Linked DNA regions of Elephas maximus indicus. The protein of the gene in region 1 interacts with the protein of each later gene in a pairwise test. Links are inferred from orthologs where the notes say so. Each region holds a gene or a part of one and is shown in the gene's direction. Other genes may lie near its edges.

What was found.
Region 2: the proteins of LMO2 (region 1) and TAL2 interact in a two-hybrid assay, tested with the Homo sapiens proteins (2 studies listed by BioGRID and IntAct). The link is inferred for Elephas maximus indicus from reciprocal best matches to the Homo sapiens genes LMO2 and TAL2.

What each region holds. Positions count from the first base shown.
Region 1 is NC_064825.1:89,121,918-89,125,668, reverse strand, and holds the start of LMO2 (rhombotin-2), read left to right. Parts: upstream 1-1,364; 5' UTR 1,365-1,485; coding exon 1,486-1,492; intron 1,493-1,615; coding exon 1,616-1,856; intron 1,857-3,751. UniProt on the Homo sapiens protein: Acts with TAL1/SCL to regulate red blood cell development. Also acts with LDB1 to maintain erythroid precursors in an immature state.
Region 2 is NC_064827.1:55,199,407-55,203,157, forward strand, and holds the start of TAL2 (T-cell acute lymphocytic leukemia protein 2), read left to right. Parts: upstream 1-980; 5' UTR 981-1,008; intron 1,009-2,970; 5' UTR 2,971-3,098; intron 3,099-3,742; 5' UTR 3,743-3,751.

The sequences.
Region 1 (3,751 bases):
TGGTGCAAACAATTAAGCACTCGACTACTAACCTAAAAAGGTTGGTGGTTCAAACACACTCAGAGGCACCTTGGAAGAAAGGCGGGGTGATCTGCTTCTGAAAGGTCACAACCTTGAAAACCCTATGGAGCCAGTTCTACCCTACAACACATGGGGTCACCATGAGTCAGAATCTACTCCACCCCAACTGGTTTGGGTGTTTTGGGGTTATGGCTGACATCATCACTTCATGCACAAATAGGTCTTTAATCGCTTTGAAGGCAGACATTTCCAAGGAAGTTTGAGGCCCAGGGGAACCAAATTTGTTCTCTACAGAGGGCAGACTCTGTTGGTCCTCCTGTCTCCTTCTGCATTCCTCACTCTTCCTAGACTTTGCCTTAAAGGTTGGGGGGAGACCTGAACTAACCCCAGCATCAAATCTGGCTTCTTTCCCCTTCACTGATCCTGGACAAAATGAGCTCCCTATTGCTCTTGGTCATTGGAAAAGCGCTTTCTCTGTACAGATTACTTACTGACACTTTGCACGGGGCCAGTTAAACCGCAGGCGTCCGCCTCAGTCGCCTTTTGAAAGATGCTGAGGGAGAAAATTCTACCGCCGGCAGATGGAGAGGAGACCTGGACCAGCGTAGTCCCTCCCTCCGGGATTAGCTACCCCTGGCACGCTCAGACGTACCCAGCCCGTGCGGTCCCTGCTTGCACAGCTCGAGTTGCATATCTGGAGCGTGGACGCAGTCCCCAGCCGGCAGCCAGCAGAGCCGCACTGTCCCAGGCATCCCGGCGCCCGGCGTCAGTGGACCTGGGACCTCGAACCCCCGACAGGCGCGAAAGCCACTCCGAAAGCTGGCGTTTCTGTATGTGCTTATTTCACACATTTGTCTTTTATTTCTTCCTTGAGCGGCCCACTGGTTACTTTAGTTTCAGTTAAGCCAGAAGGGGAACGTGAAAGAGTGGGTGCCCTAAGGAAGGATTTCGAGGCAGCCGGGTCTCCTTTCCAAGGAGAGGTGTTTCCGAAGTGACTCTTCCGATCCCCTATGCTTGCCCCTTTAAGAAGCCAAGTCAGTCCTGAGGCTGCTGCTGTTTGTATTGCTAATCCCCTGGAGCCCTGTTTAAAAAAAAGAAGAAGAAGAAGAAGAAGGGGGGGGCGGGCAGCTGTCTCTTTAAATGTGATTTCCTTCTATTGTATTTGAATCGTGATCAGGAAAAAGGAAATGAAACCAGAGACAGAGGGAAGCTGAGCGAAAATAGACCTTCCCGAGCAAGGAGGGAGTCCGGGGGGGAGACGCACAGCCCCCTGCCCGACCCCCTCCCCCCCCGCCCCGCTCTCGGCGGCGAGCTGCGCGCCGCGACCCGGGCCGAAGGTGCGAGGGGCACCGGGCACCGGGCGGCGCGCACGATCCCCGCGGGCGGCGCGAAGCCGGCGACAGCGCGCGAGCGGGACCGGGAGGCGGCGGCGGCGGCGGCGGCGGCGGCGGCGGCGGGACCGGGATGGAAGGTTAAGTCCTGAGCAGCAGCTGCTGCTTCAGCCGCCCAGGGCCAGGCTGCGCGCCCCGGCCCCATCCTCGGCCGTGGCGCGCCCGCAGCCCGGTGATTCGCTCTCTCTCTTTGGCGTTTGAAGGGAGCGCGGTGACTGTCCTTGAGCGCGGAGGGGCGAGCTCGCCTCCGGAGCGCCGGAGCAAGAGAAGGCGCAGGAGCGGCGGCGGCGGCGGCAGCGGCAGCGGCGTCCGAGCACCCGAGGGGGTCCGAGTCCCGGTAGCCGGCCAGCCCCGCGCCACAAAGGGAGTGCCCCCGCCACCCGGCACGCCGCCTCCCTCCCCAATGTCCTCGGCCATCGAGAGGAAGAGCCTGGACCCGTCTGAGTAAGTGTGGCGCTCCTGCCCCCGCCACCCGTGGTGTCCACGGCCTCGAGCTCCGGGGCGGCAGGGTGGTGAGAAGAGCCCGCGAGGGGGCTCCAGGTGCGCGCCCGCAGCGTGCCCTTGGCTCTCTCTGCCTTGAGCAGGGCTCTCTTTTTCTCACGGGGTAGCCCCGGGGACCCTGCAAGAGGGACTGGGCAGAGAGCAGCAGGGAGAGGGGACTGGCTCGGCACCTCCTTGTACCCCTCCGGCTGCCTGGGACGCTCTCTGAAGCGGCCGCGAGCTGGAAAGTTTGCACAGGGTTAGGCCCAGGGGGGAGCTCAGAGGGGCGCAGATGCTGTTCGGAGATCGTGCAGGGCTCGGTTCTGTTCCCTTCTCCCCTCTTGTCCGCTCCCAGCTGCTTTTCTCTTTGTCCTTTTGATCCTGAAAAGAGGGACATTCCAAGTGGAGGTGTCCGGGATCCCCGACAGCCCTTTCCAGTCCGCAGGCGGAGTGGCGGCTAGCAGTGCCGCTGGACCTCGGGTGAGGGGTTTGAGCGCCCACCTAGGAGCACGCCCTGGCCTCGAGGCTTCTAGAGCCGCCAAATCCAGAGTTAATCTGGGTTCATGTAACCCCCACCCCTTAAAAGTCAGTGCACCATTTTGTGTATAGGTGAATTTTTCTGGAGAGAGGAGTCTCAGGGTTTGCACTGTAGTTTTAAACGGGTTTGGAGTCAGGGAACCAGGGCTCTAATGAGTATTTGTCGCATCTGTTTTCTGAACCTTTTACTGGTTTCGAGTGTTTCCCACTTCGAACCTACACTCCCAACCCATTCCTTGGTGTTAACATGGGGAGAAAAATGTGGTTTAAGATACCATTTTCCCATTAACGCTAATGCCCTTTAAAGATTCATTAGTTGTCTGGTTTTGAGAATTTTTATTCCTTTGAAGTCCCTGGCTAATCCTTTGAAGGGATTTGTGACACAGACCAAAGGAGCTGGTTAATGACTTGTCCATTTGTGCTTTTAAGAGGCATTTGTTTTGTTTTTTCTTTTCCTGCCTTAAAAGAATTGTGCTTTCCTGCTGGAAGTCTCCCGCCTCCAATTTCAGCCCTCCACTGTTTATTTACCTGGGTTTTACCCTGAGTTACCAACATAAAAGCTCAGTATGTTCTCATAAAACACAGGAAGTGCCTCCATCCAACGAGAATATAAACATCACTATTCAATCTTGAAGGTTAAGACACCAGTCTATAAGGATCTACGTTTGTGTTAACAAAAACTCAAGCTTCCTTAAACAAATTCTCTGGAGAAAAATAACATTCCTTTACTTTAAAGTCCATAACTATGCAAACAATGGTTTGCTTACTTTCTTACAAGCCCAGAATGACAATTTAGCCCTGAGCTTTCAGAGACTGGACAAGACCACAGCAATACAATAATAAGAGAGTGAATTGGATGCATTGGTGCCTAATGCCCTTTCGATCAGCAGAAGTGAGTCACTAATCCTTTTATTAGAAGATAAATGTGGAGGTTTCAGTTCCCTGAAGGAAGTTTGCTCTCTTCAAAGTTTGTTCTTTTTCACTGAGATTAGAAAATTGAAGCATCCAACCTGGTAACATAGCAGGCACCCACTGAAGGATGCTGACCTCCTCCATCCTTTGCTTCACTATTTGGCCAATGAAGACGGGTTCTAAGTGAAGATGGACAAGATAGTTGATGAAATGATGCGGGGCATCCTTTTTTATCGTTCTCAGAAATTGGTGATAAATTATCTTAGAAATCCAGGCTGAAGTAATTTTCTGGTGCAATATTCAGAATAGGCTCTAAGGGAATATAAAACATTAAGGGTAAATTCCACTCACTCATTGGCTTGGAACCTCCACCAAAGATAATGTGATATTATCATTAATTATAGAAAGAT
Region 2 (3,751 bases), on another chromosome or scaffold:
TCCATGGTCTGCCTGGAACTTCCTCAGAATGCCAGGGTTAGGTTTCTCTGCTCTTACTGCCCCTATGCTTCCCTCTTGAGTCTCACATAGCAACAAAGTCCTCGGGGGCTGACCCTGTGTCCTGTTCGTCAGTATCCCCAGCAGCCAGCACAATATCTGGCACAGAGTAGGCCCTCAGCAAGCGTTGATACCAAAGTTTGGAGTGTATCTTGTTGTAATTGGACTATTGGTCAAACTGGGAGTGTGCCAGATGCTGCTCTAAGGTGCTGTATGTGTACCATTTCCTGTATCAATAATACAGCAAGGTAGTATCCTGAGTCTCCCTTTACTTATGAGGCAATTGAAGCACAGAGAGGTTAAGCAGATCGCTCAAGGTTACACAGCTAGGAGGAGTAGAGCCACAAGCCAAACCCAGGGTGCTGGCTCCACAGCCTGTTTTTTTTTTTTTTTTTTTTATAACCACAATGTGATGCCTCCACTAATGGCTAAATTCTATAAAGACCCCTATAGATTCAAGGCTTGAGGGTAACAGAGTGAATTGTTCCAGTTAACTGGGATTATCATTTGGTTCCTACCAGAGGATAATGATACCAGCATACTATGCAGTGAAATGACTTTTTGAACAAGTCTGCATCCCTGAGCCATTGCCAGCAATGTTTACAGTGGTGTTATTACAACCACCGCTATCTGCATACGTATATAAGTTAATACATGAAAATGGTACCTGGCACAAAGCACATGTACTGTCCACTCTTATTTTCCTTACTGTATAGTTTAAAGAGTGCTTTCACATTCAGTGTTTCATTTAATTCTTACAACAACCCTGTGAGGAGAGAATGGTTTCATTACACCCATTTTAGAGCAGAGGACTCCGAGGGTCAGGATGGTGAAGTGGCTTATGCAGAGCCTGAAGACTGGTTGGTGACTGGTGCTGCTACTAGAACAAGCCTTCTGGGAGAGAGTGGGCTTTCCCCTGATCTGTGCTCCCCTGTAACTTCCTCCATGATGGTAGGTCTCTTGTATGTGAGTATCCTGGTTTCTTAAAAAAAACGGTTTTCCTAAGGATAAGAGTTTCCCCATTTGGAGAGCAGAGTGGTGGTTTTCAACTTTGGCCACACACTGAGCTCACTTGGCATGTCAGCCGTGGAGGACGCTGCTTGGATCTCGCTTCAAGAAAGAACTTGCCCTTCAGCTGCAAGGAGGGAAGTTTCTTCAGCCTCCAGCTGCTGCACCTTCAGGATCCGCCTCCGCTCTTCCCAAGCAGCCTCCAGCCAATGACTGAGCTTGGCAGGAACACCAAGAACTTTCTGCCCAATAGGGTTTCCTCTGACAGGCATATTTGCCTCAGAGCTCCCTGGTGGGTTGACCGTATCTCAGGCTGAGGCTCTTTCTCACCAATCCTGCTTCCCTTTTACAGGCCCTACCCCTCAGTAAACCACTTGTACACCCAACTCCAGCCCATTTTCTACTTCCTGGAGGATCCAATGGATACACCTGGGATGTTTTAAAAACTACCGATGCCCCAGAGATTTTTATTTAATTGGTCTGGAGTGCAGCCTGCGTGATTCCTATGAGCAGCCAAAGCTGAGAACCAGTGGAATAGAGAACAGTTGAGAGACAGGAGTTGCTAGTGTTTTAAATTAGAAAAAGACCTGCTTTCTCACAATTCACTGGAGTCTCAACAAATCATTTCTTTAAGTTAATTTCAAATAAAATGGGCCCACCTTTTCCCACCATGCATACAAATTCCTAACCCTCCAATTCCTTCCTGCAAGGTGGCAGGAAGCAACAGGTGTGAAGGAAGCTGGCATTTGGGAGGGGCTGGGTGGCACCTATTGAATTTCTGGGATTCTACGTGGTGCCTTATATAACTTAGATATGAAGGGCGTTTATCCACAAGCCCACATCCTCATAAAAACCCAGATAAAAGTAAAGGGAGGCAGAACTTAGGGAAAAGGTTGATGCCATTGTCAAGATCATTTTAGTCCCAGCATGATTCTTTTATACCTTCCTCTAGTCACCAAGAGTTGTTCTGGATTTGGCACTTTGGGTGTGGGAATTTGTGCTGTGATTTTATGTGTTTATGTTTGTGTAGCCTCCTCCACAAGACTATACAATAAACTTGAGGACAAGGACCCTATCCGAGCATGTCCATAATCCCAGCTCATAGCACAGGCCCTCATAGGCCTTGGCACAGAGTAGGTACCCAGTGAAGGTTAAAACAAAAGAGCAAAGTCACCAAGAACCAAAGGTTGATAGCAGGCTTGGTTAGAGAATAGTAAGATATCCTCTCTACTCCCAAGAATGTTCAAATACCCTATAAGTCATTTTTATTTATATTTATGATTTTATTATAATTATTTAACAAATGCTTTTAAAATGGTTACTATGTATCAGGCACTGTTTTAAGGGATTTACAAATATGAACTTACGTAATTCTCCTAACAACCTTGCTCTACCACCAAGGGCCACAAGAGTTCAGGGAGGGGAGGGCTCAAAGAGTTCTGGGATGGCCTGGATGGCTTCATGGAAAAGGAAGATTTGAGCTTCTCTAGACAGAAGTAGACAGGAGCGTGGGGAGGGAATTTAAGGTACTGAGAATGCTCTTGCAAGGGGGTAGAGGTAGGGATATTTACTGCTCTTTGGGGAAACTGCAAGGTGCCATGGGAACTGAGGCCAGGGAGCAGGCAACAGACTGATAGTACTGAGCCAAGAACACCCAAATATCAGGTACTGGACTTTGTTCTTGTTTGCTGATGCATCATTAATATTCACATTGATGCATGTAAATCAAAGCCCATGCCTCCAAGAGGTAAAAATGAATAATTAAGACTCAGTGATATATAATGATAAATAACCCTCCTAGGGGTGGAAAGATCATCCAATCCAACCTCACAGATGCTAGAATATCTTCTACAGCATCCATGCCAAATGGTCATCTTCACCTGCTCCTTGTCTTTTCTTCTTCAGGCTAAACATGTCCAGTTTTGTTCTTCATATGACATGATCTCAAGAACCTTCATCATCTTATTCATCTTCCTCTACTGTGGATCACTCTGAATATTTTACCTCTTACAGAGAGGGGCCTGATCCTCCAGGTGAGATCTGCCAGCTAAGAGGAGAGCTGTGCTATCATCTTCTTTATTTCAAATACTACTTTATTAATGAAACCTAGGATCACAGCCTTTTTTTTTTTTTTCCTTAAGAATCCATAATACACTGTTGATTTATATTCAATTCCTGTTGGCTAAATGGATCCCTGGCAGCTTGGTGATTAAGAAATCGGCTGCTAATCAAAAGATTGGCAATTCGAGTCCACCAGCAGCTCCTTGGAAACGCTATGGGGAAGTTCTACTCTGGCCTATAGGGTCACTATGAGTCGGAATCGACTTGACAGCAATGGGTTATTGGCTAAATACCTATCTTTATTCATGTATGTACTCAAACCTATATTGTATGTTGTATAGGATTCTGAGCAATTAGAAAGAGTTGGTTGTAAAAGAAGTAATGGGGGTATCCAGATAAAATACCTTTGAAACTGGATGCTTCAAAACAGCCAGGGAGAAAAAGGCTGAAGGGTATTGTTCTTACTCTGTCCTTCCTTTTGCCACATTTTCTTCTCTTATCAAGAGGAAAATGAGGAAATGAATTCCAAAAATCTGGTTCTTGGCAGGACCTGTGATATCCCCAGGCCTCTTTCATAAATGTTGCCCATTGGGGCCCTTTTTCTTTCCCATCTCAGGTACCCAAG